Caenorhabditis elegans: one gene and its partner. The protein of the gene in region 1 interacts with the protein of each later gene in a pairwise test. Each region holds a gene or a part of one and is shown in the gene's direction. Other genes may lie near its edges. The genes, in order: bub-1 and mdf-1.

What was found.
Region 2: the proteins of bub-1 (region 1) and mdf-1 interact in a two-hybrid assay, tested with the Caenorhabditis elegans proteins (one study listed by BioGRID).

The regions. Positions count from the first base shown.
Region 1 is NC_003279.8:7,249,896-7,259,593, forward strand, and holds bub-1 (Mitotic checkpoint serine/threonine-protein kinase bub-1), read left to right. Parts: upstream 1-2,045; 5' UTR 2,046-2,051; coding exon 2,052-2,125; intron 2,126-2,170; coding exon 2,171-2,700; intron 2,701-2,743; coding exon 2,744-3,655; intron 3,656-3,699; coding exon 3,700-3,887; intron 3,888-3,932; coding exon 3,933-4,702; intron 4,703-4,746; coding exon 4,747-5,236; 3' UTR 5,237-5,328; downstream 5,329-9,698. Other genes in the region: Protein lin-61, read right to left, coding at 1-250, 301-397, 524-690, 739-921, 1,025-1,387; ztf-15 (C2H2-type domain-containing protein), read left to right, coding at 5,632-5,655, 5,700-5,813, 5,859-5,948, 5,997-6,083, 6,126-6,341, 6,526-6,999, 7,139-7,531, 7,833-8,327 and 2 more; myo-1 (Myosin-1), read right to left, coding at 9,569-9,698. UniProt on the Caenorhabditis elegans protein: Serine/threonine-protein kinase essential for spindle-assembly checkpoint signaling. Plays a key role in the recruitment of the checkpoint proteins bub-3, mdf-1 and mdf-2 to unattached kinetochores. mdf-1 recruitment is independent of bub-1 kinase activity.
Region 2 is NC_003283.11:9,538,966-9,548,152, reverse strand, and holds mdf-1 (uncharacterized protein), read left to right. Parts: upstream 1-3,926; 5' UTR 3,927-3,928; coding exon 3,929-4,133; intron 4,134-4,183; coding exon 4,184-4,744; intron 4,745-4,799; coding exon 4,800-5,068; intron 5,069-5,117; coding exon 5,118-5,992; intron 5,993-6,078; coding exon 6,079-6,208; 3' UTR 6,209-6,371; downstream 6,372-9,187. Other genes in the region: nstp-10 (GDP-fucose transporter), read left to right, coding at 1-163, 220-385; his-37 (Histone H4), read right to left, coding at 634-849, 924-1,019; C50F4.6 (Cold-shock protein), read right to left, coding at 1,407-1,604, 1,657-1,737; his-41 (putative histone H2B 3), read right to left, coding at 1,989-2,225, 2,440-2,574; his-35 (Histone H2A), read left to right, coding at 2,870-3,019, 3,152-3,385; C50F4.16 (Uridine diphosphate glucose pyrophosphatase NUDT14), read left to right, coding at 6,547-6,742, 6,791-7,260, 7,355-7,492, 7,546-7,654, 7,700-7,797, 7,847-8,188; C50F4.12 (Transcription termination factor 3, mitochondrial), read left to right, coding at 8,418-8,501, 8,547-8,769, 8,923-9,187.

The DNA.
Region 1 (9,698 bases):
AGCTAAAGACTTGTCTGTCGTCATCTGCATCTGGAAGCGATTCGGGAAAGTCTTTCTTTGTGATAGATACATTCATTCGTCGTCCACATATTTCTTGAATTCGCGCTACGCGTATTTCAGTAGAATTGGAATAATTTAATAGTTCAAGACGTTGTCCAACTTTGAAACGATGCTTGCTTAGGAGAGCCTTCCCTTCATCGAATTTTGGAGACAGCGAAGTTTGGCCGACGATTTCGCCATCAATGCAATTCTGAAGTTGTGAGATGATATTAACATAAATTCGGAAAAAAACAAACTTACATTTACATAATTTACCATATCATTTTGGTATTCTTCGTTGATTGCAAGCGGCGGAGCATATACAATTTTATCCATATTGGGATCACTCATTGCGGCGCTGAAATGTTCAAATTTTACTATTATACAAATGTTTCGAAGTTTTAATACGATTGTTCTCTAGAATTTTATGTAACAGAACCATTATTTATTTAGAATAGTAGAAAGAGCTGAGCGTCCAACTTACTTTGCCAAACCAAACATATCGTCCGATAAAATATTGAGCCAAAATTTCGTGTCAGCTCCGATAAACTGAGCCAGAACTCTGTATCCGCAAACTTTTTCAATTCGTGCAAACCATCTGACTTGAATCGAATCGCAGTTCTTGTCATAATCATGGACCACTGTTTCGAACTACAAAAATTGTATTTTAAAACCGATTTACGAACAATATGAACTCACGATAACTCCTTCCTTCACGCATTCGTTAAAATTAACTGTAAGGTTACGATTGAATGCTTCAACTGGAATGAAAGAAGTTTTTCCTTTCTCGAACTGATGTAAATAGGATTCCCACAAGTAGGTCTTATCGAGTTTTCTGTCCGATTTTTTGTTAGCTCTGACAATTTTCAGAAATTCAGACATCTGAAATTAAGACTGGTTTAAAACGTAATTAGAGAGAATGTTTATTGAAATTGAAAGTTAGTTCGATTTGATTTGATATTTCTCAGGCGTTCGTCAAATTCACAGTGTACTCAATATACTCCAACCCATTGGATCCACTGGTGCTACTCAACCCGTGCCTATACTCGCGAAAATTTCCATTTTTCGTGCAATTGTGCAGAAACCACCCATAAGGCTCGAGCTTTCCAAATTCAAATCCATGATGGCCGTCCTGATAGAAAAATATTTTCTTTCGAGCAAACATAGTCATACGTCCAGTGATGTCTTCATCGCGATCCCAAAAAGTATTGCCATCGTCTTCCCAATGCGACACTGTTAATTGGAACACTTCATCAAAATCACACTTAACTTCGACGCCAAACAGAAATCTTGTCGAACTGACTGTATTGTAGAACAACGCGAAGCACAAAATGACTAATTTTAGCATTTTGATGTTCGGGAACTAACTTTTCGGACGAACAAAAACACTCTTAACTATCTGGTGACAAATTAGACTACTGGGCCACGCTAACTTCAATTATTTCGAAACATTTTGCTTTAAAAAAAAAAGAAACAAAACAGGAAAATGGAGAAAATGTTTGAAAAATAATAAAAAAGAAATGAGAGACTCAATGCAGATCCGTCGATTTCGAAACTAGTGACGAACGGACTACGAAAAAATGGGCGGGCTTTTTGTGTTATTAAAAGTGTAACATTTCAAATTAAATTCCAATTGCATACAAACACTTTTTAAAAAATTGTTTTTTTATAATTTCAAATAGCTTTAAAATCAATTTTCAGTTATAGCAATAAAGCACCGCCCAATTTTCAGTAGTGCGCAATTCTCCAGATTCAAAAGAACGTAGCCATGAGAGTGACGTCACTGAACTACAGCGAAAAACGCGCTCTATCGAGCAGGCCCGCGAAGACTCGCTTTTCAAAAAAGACGCGCGCGTTTATATCCATTTCTTGTTTTCGAAGGTCCTAAAATTTAGAGGAGAAAGAGGGATTTCACGTCTCCAATGAACTCCGTAATTTTCGTGAACCGATGATTTTTTTATTCGCGTCCTTTCTACTTTGAAAACTTGTTATTCAGATTATTTCAGAAAGTTATGTCCCACATTAGAGTGGCATTCGCTCCACTCGACACCAATCCGTCGACATGTGGTCTTGAGACGTTCGCAACGTAAGTTTCCGTATATCTTGTATTTTAAATAGTCACCACTTTCAGGCAAATCGAAACGTTGTCTCAAATGATGACCGCGGAGGAAATGAAGGCGGAATTATACGACTGCGTTAGGAGAATTTTGCGGGAGCAAAAGTTTGATCAAATTCGTGAAAACGAAGCGATGCTCCGTCTCTACAAAGTTATGGGTCGATCTAGTACAAACCTGAAGGGAAGAGGCATTTATGAACAACTTTTCAAAAAGGATCATTTCACTGGTTCGCTGAAGTTCTATCTGCAATGGGCAGAAGAATGTGGAAAAGATCAAATGCTGGAGGAATTCAAAGATGTCCTGAAGTTGGCACGAGATCGTCTTTCCGAAAGAATAGAAATGACAGCAATTGAATCGGGATTTCGCGATTTGGTCGATGAATACTTCAATGGAGAATCTGGAGATATGTTCACACGACCGGATGAGACTATGGATCTTTTCAGATTCAATGCGGGTTCTAAGAAAAAGCGTCGCTCTTCGGTTTGCTTTTTGCAACACAATGTGCCTATAAATAACTCGGGAAAAGCTGCATTTGGACCAAAAAGTAAGTTTGAAAAAAAGTTATTATTCTCATTGGAAACTTACAGCCAAAACGGATCTTCGCCAGGCGTGTATCGACAGGCCAAACTATCATGGAATATCGATTGAGGAGTTTCGTTTTGCCAAATGGAAGGACACTTTCGGAGAAGATGTTGATGACGATTACCGAAAACGAAAAGACTCTGGTGTCGTTTTCGTGAAACATCAAGTCATTGATACCGACAGACAAGCCCGCGAAGAAGTTGAAAACCGATTCAACGCCAATCTAAATCCTAGAAGACGTCATCTTTCACCAGTCAGTGAGAAAACGGTTGATGATGAGGAGGAAAAGCGAAGCCGGATTTATTCGCCGCTGGTTGCAACGAAGGATGCTCACAGACCTGCACTTCGGAGCAAAATTGAGAATCCTCCAGCGACAGTGACACTTTCGTCGGATACAAAGTCTGCTTCGGAGAAAGATGTTAGTGATTCCGATGATGCAGATGATGATGAAAGACTCAAGATTATGACTGCCGGCAGAAAAGATGGTAACCCTCCAGACCGTTCCACAAGCATATCTTCCAACTATTCAACTGCTTCTGCAAGAACATCAAAGAGTGGAGCTGGATTGGATTTGATGGCGGAAAATAAGTGTTTGGAGGCACATGCTATGTTTTCCGACACTGTACATCTTGCTAGCGAAAAGACAATGGTCCTTGGCGATGATTCTGTCTTCGTTCCAGAAAGATCTTTAGCTACTACGCAGATAGTTACTGACTTTTCCGTGCTCTGTGATCCTGATCCGACAATGACCATTACACAGGAGCGTCCGAAAAAAGTGTCGAATGGGTTGAATGTTGTTTACGATGAGGCAGCCGAACCGGAAGAATCTCAGAAAGTTGAGGAATCTGAAGTACAACCCGAAATTGTCCTAGTTTCTCCAGTGACGCAAACCTCACCAGCTACAATGTTTAATGATAGTGGGTTTATCGAAAAATATAACAACTTATGTTTTAATTTTTAGTTTATGACGATGAAATCGAGTTTGGCTTTTTCAAACCGTCTCGTGGTAATTTCGTCACATCGACCCCCGCACAAGGAGTTCATTTGGTCAACATTGATGAATATTTCGGAAATAAAGAGGAGGAAAGCACTCACGAACAGGAAGCTCCAGTATTTGTTGCTCCAACCAGCAGTACTTTCAGTAAATTAGTAAGTGCCAGACAAATTTTCGACATACTATTCAAACTTTTTCAGACACGTCGAAAGTCACTAGCAGCAAATCAAGCCGTTCAGCCCTCAGTCACAGAGTCATCAAAGCCTGAACGATCAGATCCTAAAGATTCATCTATCGATTGTTTGACAGCTAATCTAGGAAGACGTCTTTCAATTGGTGCTGATGAAATTCCAAATCTCACTGAAAACAACGAATCTGAAATCACTGGTTGCAAGATTCGTCGGCGCAGTGAAATTATCAAGCAAGGAGACATCAATCCATGGGACGAAACTCTTCGAAAAAAATTGATGTGTCTTGTGCGTCCTCCCCAGAATATGCACGAGTTCCAAGAACGAGCACCGAAGATTCAAGCTCTGAGAGACTGCGAGGTTAGCGGAGAAAAGCTCCACATTCAAACTCTTATTGGTCAAGGTGGATACGCTAAAGTATACCGGGCTGTAACCGATGATCAAAGGACAGTAGCTGTGAAGTACGAGGTGCCATCATGTTCGTGGGAAGTGTACATTTGCGACCAAATGCGGAATCGCCTGAAAGATCGAGGTTTGGAGCTGATGGCCAAATGTTGCATTATGGAAGTGATGGATGCTTATGTTTATTCAACTGCTTCGCTTCTTGTTAATCAGTACCACGAATATGGAACGCTGCTTGAATATGCGAATAACATGAAGGATCCGAATTGGCACATAACCTGCTTCTTGATTACCCAAATGGCCCGAGTTGTGAAGGAAGTCCATGCCTCTAAAATTATTCATGGAGATATCAAACCGGATAATTTTATGATCACCAGAAAGTATGGGAAAACATTTGTTAATTTTAGACGTTATCTTTTTTCAGGATCGATGATAAATGGGGCAAAGATGCTCTGATGAGTAACGACAGCTTTGTCATCAAGATTATCGACTGGGGACGTGCCATTGACATGATGCCACTGAAGAACCAGCGTTTCAAGGGAAGAGCAGGAACAGAAGCGTTTGATTGCCCGGAAATGGTTGACGGTCGTTCTTGGACTTACCAAGCCGATTACTTCGGATTCGCCGCAACAATGGCTGTCGTTGTTGCAGGAAAGTATGCACAGTTGACTGGAGCTAGCGTTGGAGACTATTCGTTAAATGTCGACATCAAGAGGCGCAACATTCTTCGCGATGCTTGCTACGATGTCATTAACAGATTCCTCAACATCCCTTCGTGTGATTCACTTCCGGACTGGAATATCCTGATCAAGTCTTTCTCGGAAATCTGGAATGAAAAGTTTGAAGCATCGGGATGGCGACAGGCGGTTTCCAAGTTCAATGAGGCCTGTGATCTTGCCGCCAACCAAAAGTAGCCCAACACAATGAATTTGTATTTCGTGCTCTTATTGCTCTCTTTTATTGTCTTTTGTATTGATATCATGTGAATAAACTCGTTCGGAGCTTTAATAATTGTGCATCTAATTTATTTCTGGTAAAACAAATTGAATTAAACGAAGTTTTCAGTTTTTGAAAGCTTTCCAAATTTGAACGTGATATTCGAGATTGGGCGCGGCGAGACCCATCACGGTAGAAATTTGATGCGCCTTTAAAGGGAAGTATTGCAATAGATCACAGTTAGATCTAAATAGTTGCACATTCGTTTTGTTTCATCAACTGTTTTCTTCGCGTTTTGCATAAAATGTGATATTTAAAAAAGAATTTAGAAAAAATTACAATTAAAATATTTTCCAGCCATCCTCTTGTAAAAATGGAAGAATCAGATCAGACTGTGGTGAGCGCTAGTGTTTAATCAACTTATTTTGCAAAAAGTTTCAGCTTTTACCAAATGTCGAAAATGAAATTGGCAGTTTTTATCATGACATGCCTGATGAAAAATTGCTTCGTCATATCAAAGCAATTTTCGACGAAGCTTCACTTCGACCATCTTTGGTATTTAATCTTCATTGAAACCTCAACATAAAGTTAGAGTTGTAGACTAAAAACGTGCCATCCACATCTTCACAAGTCACAGAGGAATTGAATAAAGTTGAAATCAGAGATCCAAAGCATGAAATGCAAGATGAGGTTGAAATATAAATTTGGTAAAAATGCTGTATAATTTTCGAATTCCAGCAATATCTTTCAATATTCGAAAATCCGTCCGGAGTTCAGTACAACCAAGCTGATGGCTCATTTTCGTGGAATAATCGCTTCCATAGTGTAAAAACCAACTGTAATTCATTTTCTAATGAACATTTTCAGGACAACAGCGTCCAATACATAAACGTGTTGAACAACTATGGTTGTGAAGGTGCTGATACACTATTAAATCAGTCAGACAGTAGCGATGAAACCGATGAAAGTATCGAAGAAAGACGGACCCCACGAGGAAACCGGCAGTCGCGTAGTAATTTGACATCGAAACCCTCTGCCAAATATTGGACAAAAAGAGGAGGAGATCCAATTGTTAATTGCTCGGTTAGTTCATTTTAGTTCTATATCTCATTCTCTGTAAATGAACAAAAACCTTCACTATTATCACTATTATACCATATCACTATTATAGATTTATTTATTACAACTTAAAAGTGTGTACCAACCATCAAATTTCTCAAAATCTAAAGCATAACATTCTGAACATGATTTTATTCTTCAATTTCAGTGCTCAATATGTGGATCCAAATTTTCAACCATTCGCTGTCTTCTTGATCATCGTCATCAAGAACATTCACTGAAAGATATGATGATGTGTGGTCTCTGTGGAAAAGAGTTTTCGAAGCGAACACATATCTATTTGCATCTAAGTCAAGAATACAAAGTATATCATTGTGACGGTTGCAATACATCGTTTGCCAGCAAATGGCACTTGGAAAAGCATCGATGTAAGGAAAATGAAACAATCGACGATAAAAAACGAAGAAGAACGGGACGTGTAAATGCGGAAGAAATAAAAGTAATAAAAGAAGAGATTCAAGATGAAGAATTTGGTGGCGTTGTTTTGTCTAATGAGAATCATGAAAAATCAAAAGAAGACCGTTTCCAATTCGCTTGTGTATTATGTGGAAAGAAATATCAACACTATCATTGGTTGCTCAAACATAGAACCAAATGCTTGGAAACAACGGACGAAATTCAGGTGGAGAATGTTTAGTGAAACGTTTTTGCGAGAACTTCACTAATTGAAAATATAAACTAATTTAACAGATTATTTTTTCTTGTTTTACAAAAAAAAAATAAATTTCAGTCAGAGATGGGACATAAACATTGTTTTGCAGGAATTCAAGTGCAATGTTTGCTACCGAAGATACAATTCGAGTTTTTGGTTCGAACGCCACATGGAAAAGTGTAATTCATCTACTGCACTTCCTCCTGCGCTTTTAGATCAAACCATAAGCTGTCCAAACTGTCATAAAAAATATCAAAATGAATATTGGTTTGATTATCACAAGAAGCATTGTCCAGACATTACTCCAGCTCTTTCTGATGTACATTTGGATGTCAACTCGTTGCGGGACAGACGACCACGTGAAGGAGAGATCAGCGTGGTTCCAGATGTCAATTTATTTGGTATAGAACCTGAAAGAGAAGACGACAATGACGATGACGAAGATGCTGATGCTACCATTTCATCCTCATCTTCTTCGACTGGGAATTTGGTCAATATTCCGGTAGATTACTTCATTTCTTTTAAATCTTTTTGTTTGGTTAACATACTTCTTTCAGTAATCATGTCTTAAAATCTAAATTATCACCAAAGAATGTAAATTTAACATTTTGAAGTGAATGATTCATATGATAAGATTGTATTAAAAGGGAATACGTAATAGGATTACTGTAGCTGTATCTGCAATATTGCGGCAAAAATTGATTTCTATTGAAAAATTGAAAAATTGAAAATTGACAAAGGTATCATTATGTTTTACAAAATTGAAGCTCTAAATATGTTGTTCTTACATTATAAGTTTTCAGTGTTCCATCTGTGGAAAGTTCTGTGTCGGTGTTGCAAGTCTTCTTCATCATCGGAAGCAAATTCATGGATTGACTGCAATGCTAACATGTGGTGTGTGCACGAAAAAGTTCAATACACTAAGTTCGATTCGTCGTCATATGAGTATGGAATACTCAATCTTCCGTTGCCAACAATGTGGCCGAAACTGTATCGATCGAACCACTCTTGACCGTCACGAATGCTTCAAGCCATACAAGATCCGAGATAAGAGACTTTTCAATATTCAAAATATATCAGTTCTCAAGTGCCCTGACTGCAGAGCAACTTTTGCAAATTTGAATGTTCTGTCTGAACATCGCAAGACGTGTCAATACGGCAACGTATTTGATAATATTCAACAACCGGGAAGTTCTTCTTTACGACAACATCACAGGAGCGATACAAATGGAGCCGCGTTGCAGAGAAAAATCACATCCCGTGTTCGTCTAGATTCGAATACTCCAGAGAAATGGACGGTTTGTTAATTTTCCTAATTAAAAAATAACGTTTGAGAATTTATAATTTCAGTGCCGAGATTGCCACGCCTCCTTTCATAACCTGCAAGCGTTGTGCTCACATCGACACGAATCTCACGGAAAAGAAATGTTTCAATGCAACAACTGTTCTGAAACCCTTCCAAACTATCGTGCTCTCCATGATCATAATATGATGGTAAGTTTATATGTAATGAATTTATATCACATATGCTACAACATGACCAGCATTGCAGGAACAATAGATCTACAAATGAAACAACTACGAGAAGATATTCGGAAGAAGACATCAATTACGATTACATGGACAATGTACAAATATTCGTCGTAGAAGAAAGTGAAATTTTCATTCCTATTCAACCGCATTTCTCGAGAAAGTAGATAATTCTTAATACGATGTTATGTACTGCTCCCTTGTGCTTTATTCTTTACTTTTCAGACAATAAAATTTTGAACGTTCTGTCTTCTAGATTTAAACCTTCTTCAATTAAACTCCATGTTTACTATTATTCGTTCTTCAACATTCCACAAGAAGAAAACGTTTTGTGATTCTTACCAAGCAAAGGGAGTTCCTGGAAAAAACCACAGCGCGAAACCGTACTACTTGAGTGAAGTATCCTGCCAGATCCTGGTGTCTTATCATCATTTGTGCAGAGTAAATAGAAAAGAAGAAAGAAAGAAAGAGATTGTATTTACATAAGAGAGTCTTAATTACAACTTTATTCTTGAAAAAGAAGAGTTGATGATGATGATGACAGACACACCGTTTGCGTTTTTTGAATTGATTTGATTTTCTAGAGCCTGGGGCTTTTGGAAGGCAGTTTACTGATTGATAATGTGGAGGGTCGATCGCTAGAATCGAAAGAATTATGATGTCAACGAGACTTTCAGATTATATCAATTTCAGACGTGTGGAGCGTCGGGAGAAATCAACAGAATTTAAAGATCAACGGAGACTCGGCGCGCGAATCGTTCAAACAGAGAGTGAGAGAATATGATTGAGACTGAAACTTTAACAATTAGGAAAAAGGAAACTGAGAAAAACTTGATTATAAACAAGATATGTGGGGGAAAATACAAAACTATGAGAAATTATTTGTGTGTGCAGCACTGCTGAAAAAGATGATGGACAGGAGGAAGAAAATCGACGAGAGGTTTTGAAGGTCAATGGGGAAGTGAAGTTTTGTGTGTGGGGACCATGGAAATTTATTCAGGGGGCAAATTTACTTGTTGGTAGCCGAACGAACAACTTGACCGCGCATGCGAACCAATGAGTTCTCGGCAACCTCGGCACGCTCTTCGGCATTCTCGAGAGCGAGTTGGATCTGTCGGAATTTGGACAGATTCTGGGTG
Region 2 (9,187 bases), on another chromosome or scaffold:
TTATGACTTTGGGTGGCGTTTTCGGATTTATGATGGGATACGTCACTGGATGGCAAATTCAAGCAACATCGCCTCTTACTCACAATATTTCTGGAACTGCCAAAGCAGCTGCTCAGACTGTAATGGCTGTAGTTTGGTATTCAGAATTAAAAACTCTTTTATGGTATGTACTCGACTTTGATTTAAAATAAAACTAATTCAATATAAAAACAATTCCAGGTGGACAAGCAATTTCGTTGTTCTTTTCGGATCCGGAATGTACACTTACGTTCAGAAACGTGTCATGGACAAGAAAAATTCAGGAGCGTCTCCAGCTAGCGAGGCAAAATCTGACAAAGTGAAGCTTTTAGGAAGAGATGGAAATGCGGCCGAGGAATCAGTTTAATCTTGATGCCGCTGCTCGAAGTTTGCATTTTATTCAGTTATCCAGTGCAATCGGTGTATTAACTCTTTGTTCTTTGTTTTCTTTCGTGTGATATGGTTGGTAGCCACTGCTTATAATGTATAGATCGATTTATAAATTGTTTCTGAAGAACATCAAAATTAAGTCGGATAATATTTTATTGAATTTCAAAGCGAGTGATCTGGTTTTCATGATATATATTTACAGTAACCTCGGCTCAGCCGAGTGAATTATCCACCGAATCCGTAGAGAGTTCTTCCTTGACGTTTCAAGGCATAGACAACGTCCATCGCGGTTACAGTCTTTCTTTTGGCGTGCTCACAGTAAGTGACAGCATCACGAATGACATTTTCAAGGAAGACCTTCAGAACTCCACGAGTTTCCTCGTAGATAAGTCCAGAGATACGTTTGACTCCACCACGACGAGCGAGACGGCGAATTGCTGGCTGGAAAGTAAATATTGAAAATTAGATAAAATATTTTTAAGTTAAAAATATATATTTATTTTCAAAAAACTAACCTTTGTGATTCCCTGGATGTTGTCACGAAGAACTTTACGATGCCGTTTAGCACCTCCCTTTCCAAGTCCTTTTCCTCCCTTTCCACGTCCAGACATGATTAAAAGTTGTTAGAAAACGAAAGCGAATGAGTTGATAAAAACAGAATTGAACGTCACTCGTCGTCGTTCTTTTATACGCCAGCAGAAATGGGTGGAGTCAGATTGAACCACCCTGCGGGGACACATGTCAGAAAAGCGTCACAGAAACGAAAAATACGTCAAAAACTTGGTGGCGTGTTTGCGGATTCGATGACGCGGGAAAGGTTGTGCAGCAGAAATAACAGTCCTCCAAGGGTTTTCCTTGAAATTCGTAGTGTTCGGAAAGACGGTGAAGAATAAATATCATATTTTTGAGCAAAATGGTTTTATTGATGTAAAAATAAGAGATCTTGAAAATAAGAATCGGTTTGAGAATTTAGAAATTTTCGAAAACGAAGAACACAACTAAGTACTCTTCGAACTGGATGACTGCTGCTGCTCCTTATTCTGCTCCGAAGTTTGCTGCTCTTCGTCATCATCTGAACCTTCTGGAACATCTCCATACTTCTCCTTGGCCACCTTGTTGAACTCGGCATTTGTTGCTTGACGAAGAACTGCGAGAAGCTCTGGATCGAGATTCATTCCCTCTGGGAGACCTCCCATCTGAAAAGATATTTTGTTTAGGCTATTCTAAGTAAAATAAAATAGGTCTTACCTCCTTCAGCAAATCATCGAATTGCTTATTGGTCATCTCCAATTTCTTGTTTCCTTGGCTCTTCTTGGTGTTCTTTGGCATTTTTGCGCGTCGATTTGGTGTTGTGCAGACTGGTTGACTAATGAATGCCAACGTAGTGTATATTATATACCCATATGCGGTGGAGGGGCGGAGCGACAGATGTCTGAGGTCACTAACGCTCGCACATGTTTCCCAAAATCGAGTTTACTTTACCAATACCAATTTATTAGGTTTTTAGTATAAAACAGGAACATATGAATAAATACATTGGGGAATAGGAGTGTTAATGGGAGATCGTAATCATTAATAAATTATTTACTGGAAGTGTACTTGGTGACAGCCTTGGTTCCTTCTGAAACAGCATGCTTTGCAAGTTCTCCAGGAAGAATGAGACGGACAGCGGTTTGGATTTCGCGAGAAGAGATGGTGGATCTCTTGTTGTAGTGGGCCAGACGAGATGCTTCCGAAGCAATTCTCTCGAAGACATCGTTGACAAACGAATTCATGATCGACATAGCCTTGGATGACACACCGGTGTCTGGGTGAACCTGCAAATTATTTAATAATATTTTTGATTTGACAGAATAACTACTTAATATTATTTTGATTTCTATGATCCCCCAAGACTAATTTAAATGATTTTTAAATACCGGTATTATATCGTTGCAGTTCGTACTAAGTGGTACGTAGTTTTAACATACAACATGCTAATGGCTAAAACATTTTTTTATCATAACTTATTCGATTTGAATATATTCTCACCTGCTTTAAAACACGGTAGATGTAGACCGAGTAGGATTCCTTACGAGCATGCTTTCTTTTCTTTCCGTCTTTTGGCTTGCTGACGGTCTTAGCAGCCTTTTTGGCTCCTTTAGCTGATGGTTTTGGTGGGGCCATGATCGAATGAGACACGAAACGAAAATGCGAAACGAATCGATGTGTTTGGCGAGTGTTGTCTATGAGCGCTGCGAAGCGCTTTTATACTCGCCAGCGGTGGCCCCACCTCTCGCTGCCGCGGAACTAGACTCCGCCCACACCGAGAGAAATAGTTAAATAGAGAGGCGGGCGCGTGTGCGCATGCGTATTTTGCATCGATTTTCGTCGGCTTAGACCACTTTTCTGTTTCTCTTTCACCTCCAATTTGCTCATCTAGACTTCTAGTTCATTGTTATTCAACCTAATTTCAGCAAAGATGTCCGGACGTGGAAAGGGAGGAAAAGCTAAGACCGGTGGAAAGGCCAAGTCCCGTTCGTCGAGAGCTGGACTTCAATTCCCAGTTGGTCGTCTTCATCGTATTCTCCGTAAAGGAAACTACGCACAACGTGTTGGAGCAGGAGCACCGGTATGTAGAATTTTAGAGCTGCTGTGTTTTGTGCATTTCCTAGATTAAAAAATCGTTCAAACCTGAACTTGCTAGCATTTTCCAAATTATATCACTTTTGCTCTTGTACTTTTTAAAAACATAATGTTCCAGGTGTACCTCGCAGCAGTTCTGGAGTACCTCGCCGCCGAAGTTCTCGAGTTGGCTGGAAACGCTGCCCGTGACAACAAGAAAACCCGTATTGCACCAAGACATCTCCAACTCGCTGTCCGTAATGACGAGGAATTGAACAAACTGTTGGCTGGAGTCACCATCGCCCAAGGAGGAGTTCTTCCAAACATCCAAGCCGTGCTTCTCCCAAAGAAGACTGCAGGAGACAAAGAATAAGCAGTGTCACAGATGAATATTGCAACTAAAGATACTCCGCCCCGTTAATTTATATGTCATCTGAATGTATTGTTTACTCGGCTGAATTGTAAATGAAATAAATTCATATACTTTGCAGTTATCAGTAAATTATTTTTTAAAATGAAAATAAGAATTTGTTTTAAATACAATTTTTCCAGGTAAGAAACTTCCCAAAATTCGGATTTTTGAAAAAAAAACTATTCGCAAGATCATATTTTCCTATTTTTGCATGTTCTTGTGTCCGAACATGTTTCCGAATGACCAAATAATAATAAAAAATGAGGCTGAAGAATTGCTGGGAAAAGTGTGCGGCAGCATTGCATAATGCCGCGCCCTTGCAAGTGGGCGGGAAGACGTTATTTTTAAGATTTCTTCGCAGTTTGTTTGGTGACATTCGATAAACTGTTTTTGTGCGAATGGATTTGTTTGACTTCCCTTGATTGCATTAAACATATTATTAATCTCTATCTCAAAATTCGAATCGCTCACTGTAATACATTATGTAACTGATTTTTTTCAGACATGAATTACGATGAAGACATTGTCGATGAAGACGAATATGAAGAGTCGGAAGCTACAATGTTGTTCGCTGAAGAAATCAAAAAACAGTTCAAAAGAGAGTTTCCGTTGAAAGCAGAGACAGAAAAAAAGCTGAAGCAGGCAACATTTCGTCGACATGCGCCGGTGGAGGCCAGAAAAATCAATTTCGATATGACACTCTCACCTGGTAAATTAACTTAATCCATTTATTAAAAATGTTTAAAATATTTTATTTAGTGGCTCCAATCGAATTGGCAAGTGCAAAAAAAGAAAAAGAGTCGGCACAGCGTCAATTGGTAACACTCCGTGAAGATCACGAACGTATGAAACAAATGATGCAAACGAATCAAGCGAAGTTGGCTGAAAAAACCATTGATCTGGAGACGAATCGTGAGAAAATGTTGGAGCTGCAAGAGCAAGTCGAACTTCTGAAGCAAGAACGAGATGACACCATCGCAGAGTGTAATCGAAACGTTGATATTTGGACAGCATTCGGCAAAAAATACTACACTTGGTACTCAATGGCGAATACTCAGCTGGAATCTGTGAAATTGTACATAGACAACGACGGAAAGTTTGAAAACGACGAAGAAGTTACACGATTGAATGCAGTTCCAAGACAGATGTACAGGGCTCTTGAACAATTCGATTATGATGATGAAACAGTAGAAGAACTTGGTTCAGGAAGTCTGCTAGAATATGAAGGTGTTTCATTTGCTACCCGTAGACCACCATCTCCTGAAACGGAAAGAGAAATCGCTCGTGCTGATCAATCGGCTGCTAACTTTACTCTACCTCGTAAGTCCGGAATTTTCAAACTTTTGTTTGCAGGCAAATATATTCGTATTTTCAGAATCCAATTTCACACTTCTCGAGGATTCAAATAACACCATAATGCCAGAAGATCAAACAATGATGACTGATGGCTGCATTGCCAATCGATCACTTATTGATTACGAGAAAGATGAGAAAATTCAGCGATTACTACTGGAAAACAGTGTTCTCAAAGATCGTTTGAATGTCTCGAGTGGGCGTGCTGAAAGGTCGATGATTTTCGAAGAACGTAATCGTACTTTAGAGTTTGAGAAGAAAGCTCTCCATAAGCAGTTGGACAGCACATTTGTGAGTGAATAATTATTGTTAAACTAATTTCACGTTTAATTTATTTTAGAGTGAGATTGAAGCTATTCGGATTGGCCAAGCAGGGAACTTGTTCAATATAGACGAGAAAATTCCTTCGAGTTCAGACAATTCCGCTAAGCAACTGCAGCTCATTGACAGAATCACTCAGCTCATTACGAAGAACAATCAGCTCGAAAAAGATTTTGAAGCAGCTACTTCCAGAATGACGAAAGTTATGCGAGAAAGCACAGACTGTGCTCGTCGCAACGAACGACTTGAGGATGCTTTTTCGAGCGAGAGAGTCAGAAGCCAAGACCTTGAAAATGAGAAAAGCCGGCTCTCTGAACAGTTAGAGTTGAGCAACAATGAATTGGAGAAGGTCAAGAAACAGTTGGAAGAATCTCAATCTCAGCTCGATGAAGTTCTCAGCATGACTTTAACTGTCCCAGCTTCAGAACCGGCATCTTTACCTGCTCCAACCGATGCCGGAAATAGTACACAGATTTTCCATATGGCTTCTAATCCACTCCAAGATGCTCACAATGAATTCCAAGCGTCTGAAAGTAGGAAAAGAAAGTTGACAGATGCTCCAGCTGGTGATCAATGGAGAGAGCAAGAGTTTGCTGAATTGGAGAAGCGTCTTTACGACTGCGAAAGTGAGAAAAAAGTACTCGAAAGTAGTTACAATCTTCATAAGGAACTCTCGTCGAAGTTCCGGCAAGTTTGTATTGCTCTGACCGGTCTCCAAATCAAACTGAAAGATGCAGACGAAGGAATATGCACTGTACAAAGCGAATATGAAGGTGGTTCCGCTCAGCAGTTCGTGTTTAAGTATTTCTATGGAACTCCTCGCATCGATATGCTTGATGTCAGCTGTGAATCAACTACTGAAATGCTTCGAAAGTGGGAGCCACTTATGAAAAAGTTTGTTAATTTTCTGGTTACTTACTATTAGAAGTATAAATACTCCCCGTTGTTGTGAGGCATCTTCTTAAAATATGTTTTTTCAGGTACATTGGCGACCGAAATTCGATTCCGGCTTTCTTAGCAGCAATGACTCTTCAGCTGGAACAGGATCGAGATTTTGACGAGACGATGCATGAGAGAACACATACATTCAGTGTCTTACACGAGGACTAAATCATTGAGCTATCTAGATCTCAATTATTTTTCTTCAAAGGAGAAGCTGTTAAATACACTGTTACCTGAATATTTGATGTTTCATTCCATTTTATTTATTTATTTTTTAATCTAAAACGTGTAGTGATCAAAATTAATCACACAATGAACGTTATATTTTCTTTCCAATTCAATGTTTACTATGGTATATTGTTTCGTACAATCTAAAGTTTATCTGCTCGTATATAGGAGAAATACCATTATGAAAATAGGAAAATTGGTTTTTGAACATCCTGTATTTTTCTAAAACGAGTTTGAATGATACCGCAATTAAATGATATAAGAAAATATATTTTCAGATGACAGCGTCAAAAATTAGTGATGTCTCTTTTGTGACTGATTTTGTATCAAAATATCAGAAAGGAATGGAGATGTCTTACACATTGGATGGAAATTCACGTGTTAGTGAATTCAATCAAAAAATGAGCAGTGTATCCATTCTTCTATTTCATAGAGATTTAGAGCAATTTCTTCTAGTTCGTCAATTTCGACCAGGTTTCCAATTTTATTCTATTGAAATGTGAGCGTTAAGTTGTTTTTTAGCAATCTTCACCGCATCAATTTCAAATTCGCCGGAGAATCACGGTAAAGAATTTGATAAAATTGACTGGAGCAGCTATGATTCTGAAACTGGCTACACCATTGAACTTTGTGCTGGACTAATTGACAAGGAAGGATTATCTCCTAGAGAAATTGCATCAGAAGAAGTTGCTGAAGAATGTGGATATCGTGTGGATCCTGATGATCTAATTCATGTAATAACATTTGTTGTGGGTGCTCATCAATCTGGAAGTGCTCAACATTTATATTACGCGGAAATCGACGAATCCATGAAAATCAGCGAAGGAGGTGGAAATGTTCATGAGGGAGAAGTAATTACTAAAGTTTATTACCCTGTCAACGTTGCACGTGAAATTGCACGCCCTGCTATTGGAACACATGCAGAAGTGAAAGGACCTCCAGGCGTTCTTTTTGCTTTTCAATGGTGGTTTTTGGTTTTGGATCCAAAAAAGGTGAATAAAAGCATATTTTTATTTAACTTTTGAAGACTGGAAAAACCCTTCTTAAAAAACGTGTGTTTACGACAATCATTTAAAATTTTTACAGAAAGGGCTCATCGCAACTCCACCAACTGGATATCAATGGCAGCCGCACAATGTAAAAACCATTTCGAACGTAAAATTCAACACTGATTTTGACAAAAAGAAGTATGGTTATAATCCAAAGAGAATGATTTTCACAATTGTGAGTTGAAGTAAAGTTCTTAAATTATATGTATAAATGAGAATCTCTTGTAGAATGGAATAACCCGCAACTGGGATTTAGCCTTATGTCCAAACACAGCTACATGTATTCTTGTAGATATGGTGAAGAAAGAATTGATTTTCTTGCAGAAACTCCGTGCACGTAAGTAATTTTTAAATCGAACTTTAATGAAATGTAAGTTTACAGCGGTGTTTGTTGGAAAAAATCGTTTTTTGAAAGAAAACATTGGAAAGCCTCTGGATGAGATTGATTTCTCGAATTCCGATCCTAAAATTGCATACACTGTAAGTCTAGAATGCTGTATTTCCCACAATATTATATGTAATTTTCCAGCTTGAACTCGTTGTTAACCGTGTTCCGGATTTCGACGATCCTCGAAAATTCGCTCGAATCTCAGTGAAGCAACTTGGCTACGATCTTCCAGAAGATTCGTTTAAACTCCAAGCAAAGTGTATTCCGGGAATCGGTCAATCTGGAGACACCCAATCTATTTTTGCCGTGGATGTTAGTAAAGCACGACTTTGTGAGAAGGAAGAAGATGAAGACATTGAAGAACTTCGTGTTTCTTTTGCGGATTTGCCGTCTCTGTACCGACAACACAATATAGGACCACCAACTACTTACTATGCCATTGGATTTGCTCTTGATCAGCTTCTCGAGAGAGACACGCTGTAAATCGAATACATTCCTGCTTTTCTATATTTAAAAACATTTCCCATCGAATTGTACATAGACCTATCTAGACCGGTGTCTTATACGCATCCTGTTTAATGAATAATAAATTATTTTATCATGCAGAATGTGAGATTTCTAGAGACTTCGTGTGTAGAAACCACTATCTACCTTTTTTGAGTGTCAGAGATATCCTTGGACAGGACATTTTAAACATTTTTAAATGCAGACAATGACAGTACCAGCATCGATTGTTCGTTTTATGGGTACTACAGCAATTATTGGATTTCGGCAACAAACGAGAGGCATGACTATGGTAATATCTAATGTAACGTATTTTTATTCTAATTTCTAATTTAAGATTACACCAAAGAAGCCTCCAGATCTTTCCTTCAAACCTGCAACGCAAGTAAAAACTGTTTCGGAGAAGAGTCTTCAAAGTTCTCTCACTGATGAAGAAAGTCAAACTAATTTAGAGATAATTCAAAATTTTGATGACAAATGTCAAATTGAGAACACACGAGAAGTAGCAACAATTTCATCGGCTATTATTGCAGAGGCGCGAAGATTAAAATCTGAAACTGGTAGGGTTTCATAATTTTGATTATATTTCCAGATACTCTGAAAAATTCGTTCAAAAAATGCCGAAACACCATTATTAGTTGAATTATTTTATTTTATCGGAGCACCAGTTGGTCTAAAAGATTTGAAAATTTAACTATATAAAAAAATTTCAGGAAAAGCAACATACCGGAAAATTGAATACACAGAAGGAGAGCTTGATCATACTGACCTCACTGAACCAGCGTCTCCATCGAATCCTCACCCATTTGATCCCTCAGAACTTCCTCCAGTTCATTCGCATTCCATTGTTCCATTTGTAAATCACTCGCCGCTTCTTCGATTTTTAGTTGATATTGGTGTAGACCTTGCTGAAATTGAAAACACGACAACTGTTGGAAAGCATCTACTACGGTTGCAAATAGAAGACGTTCGACAGAA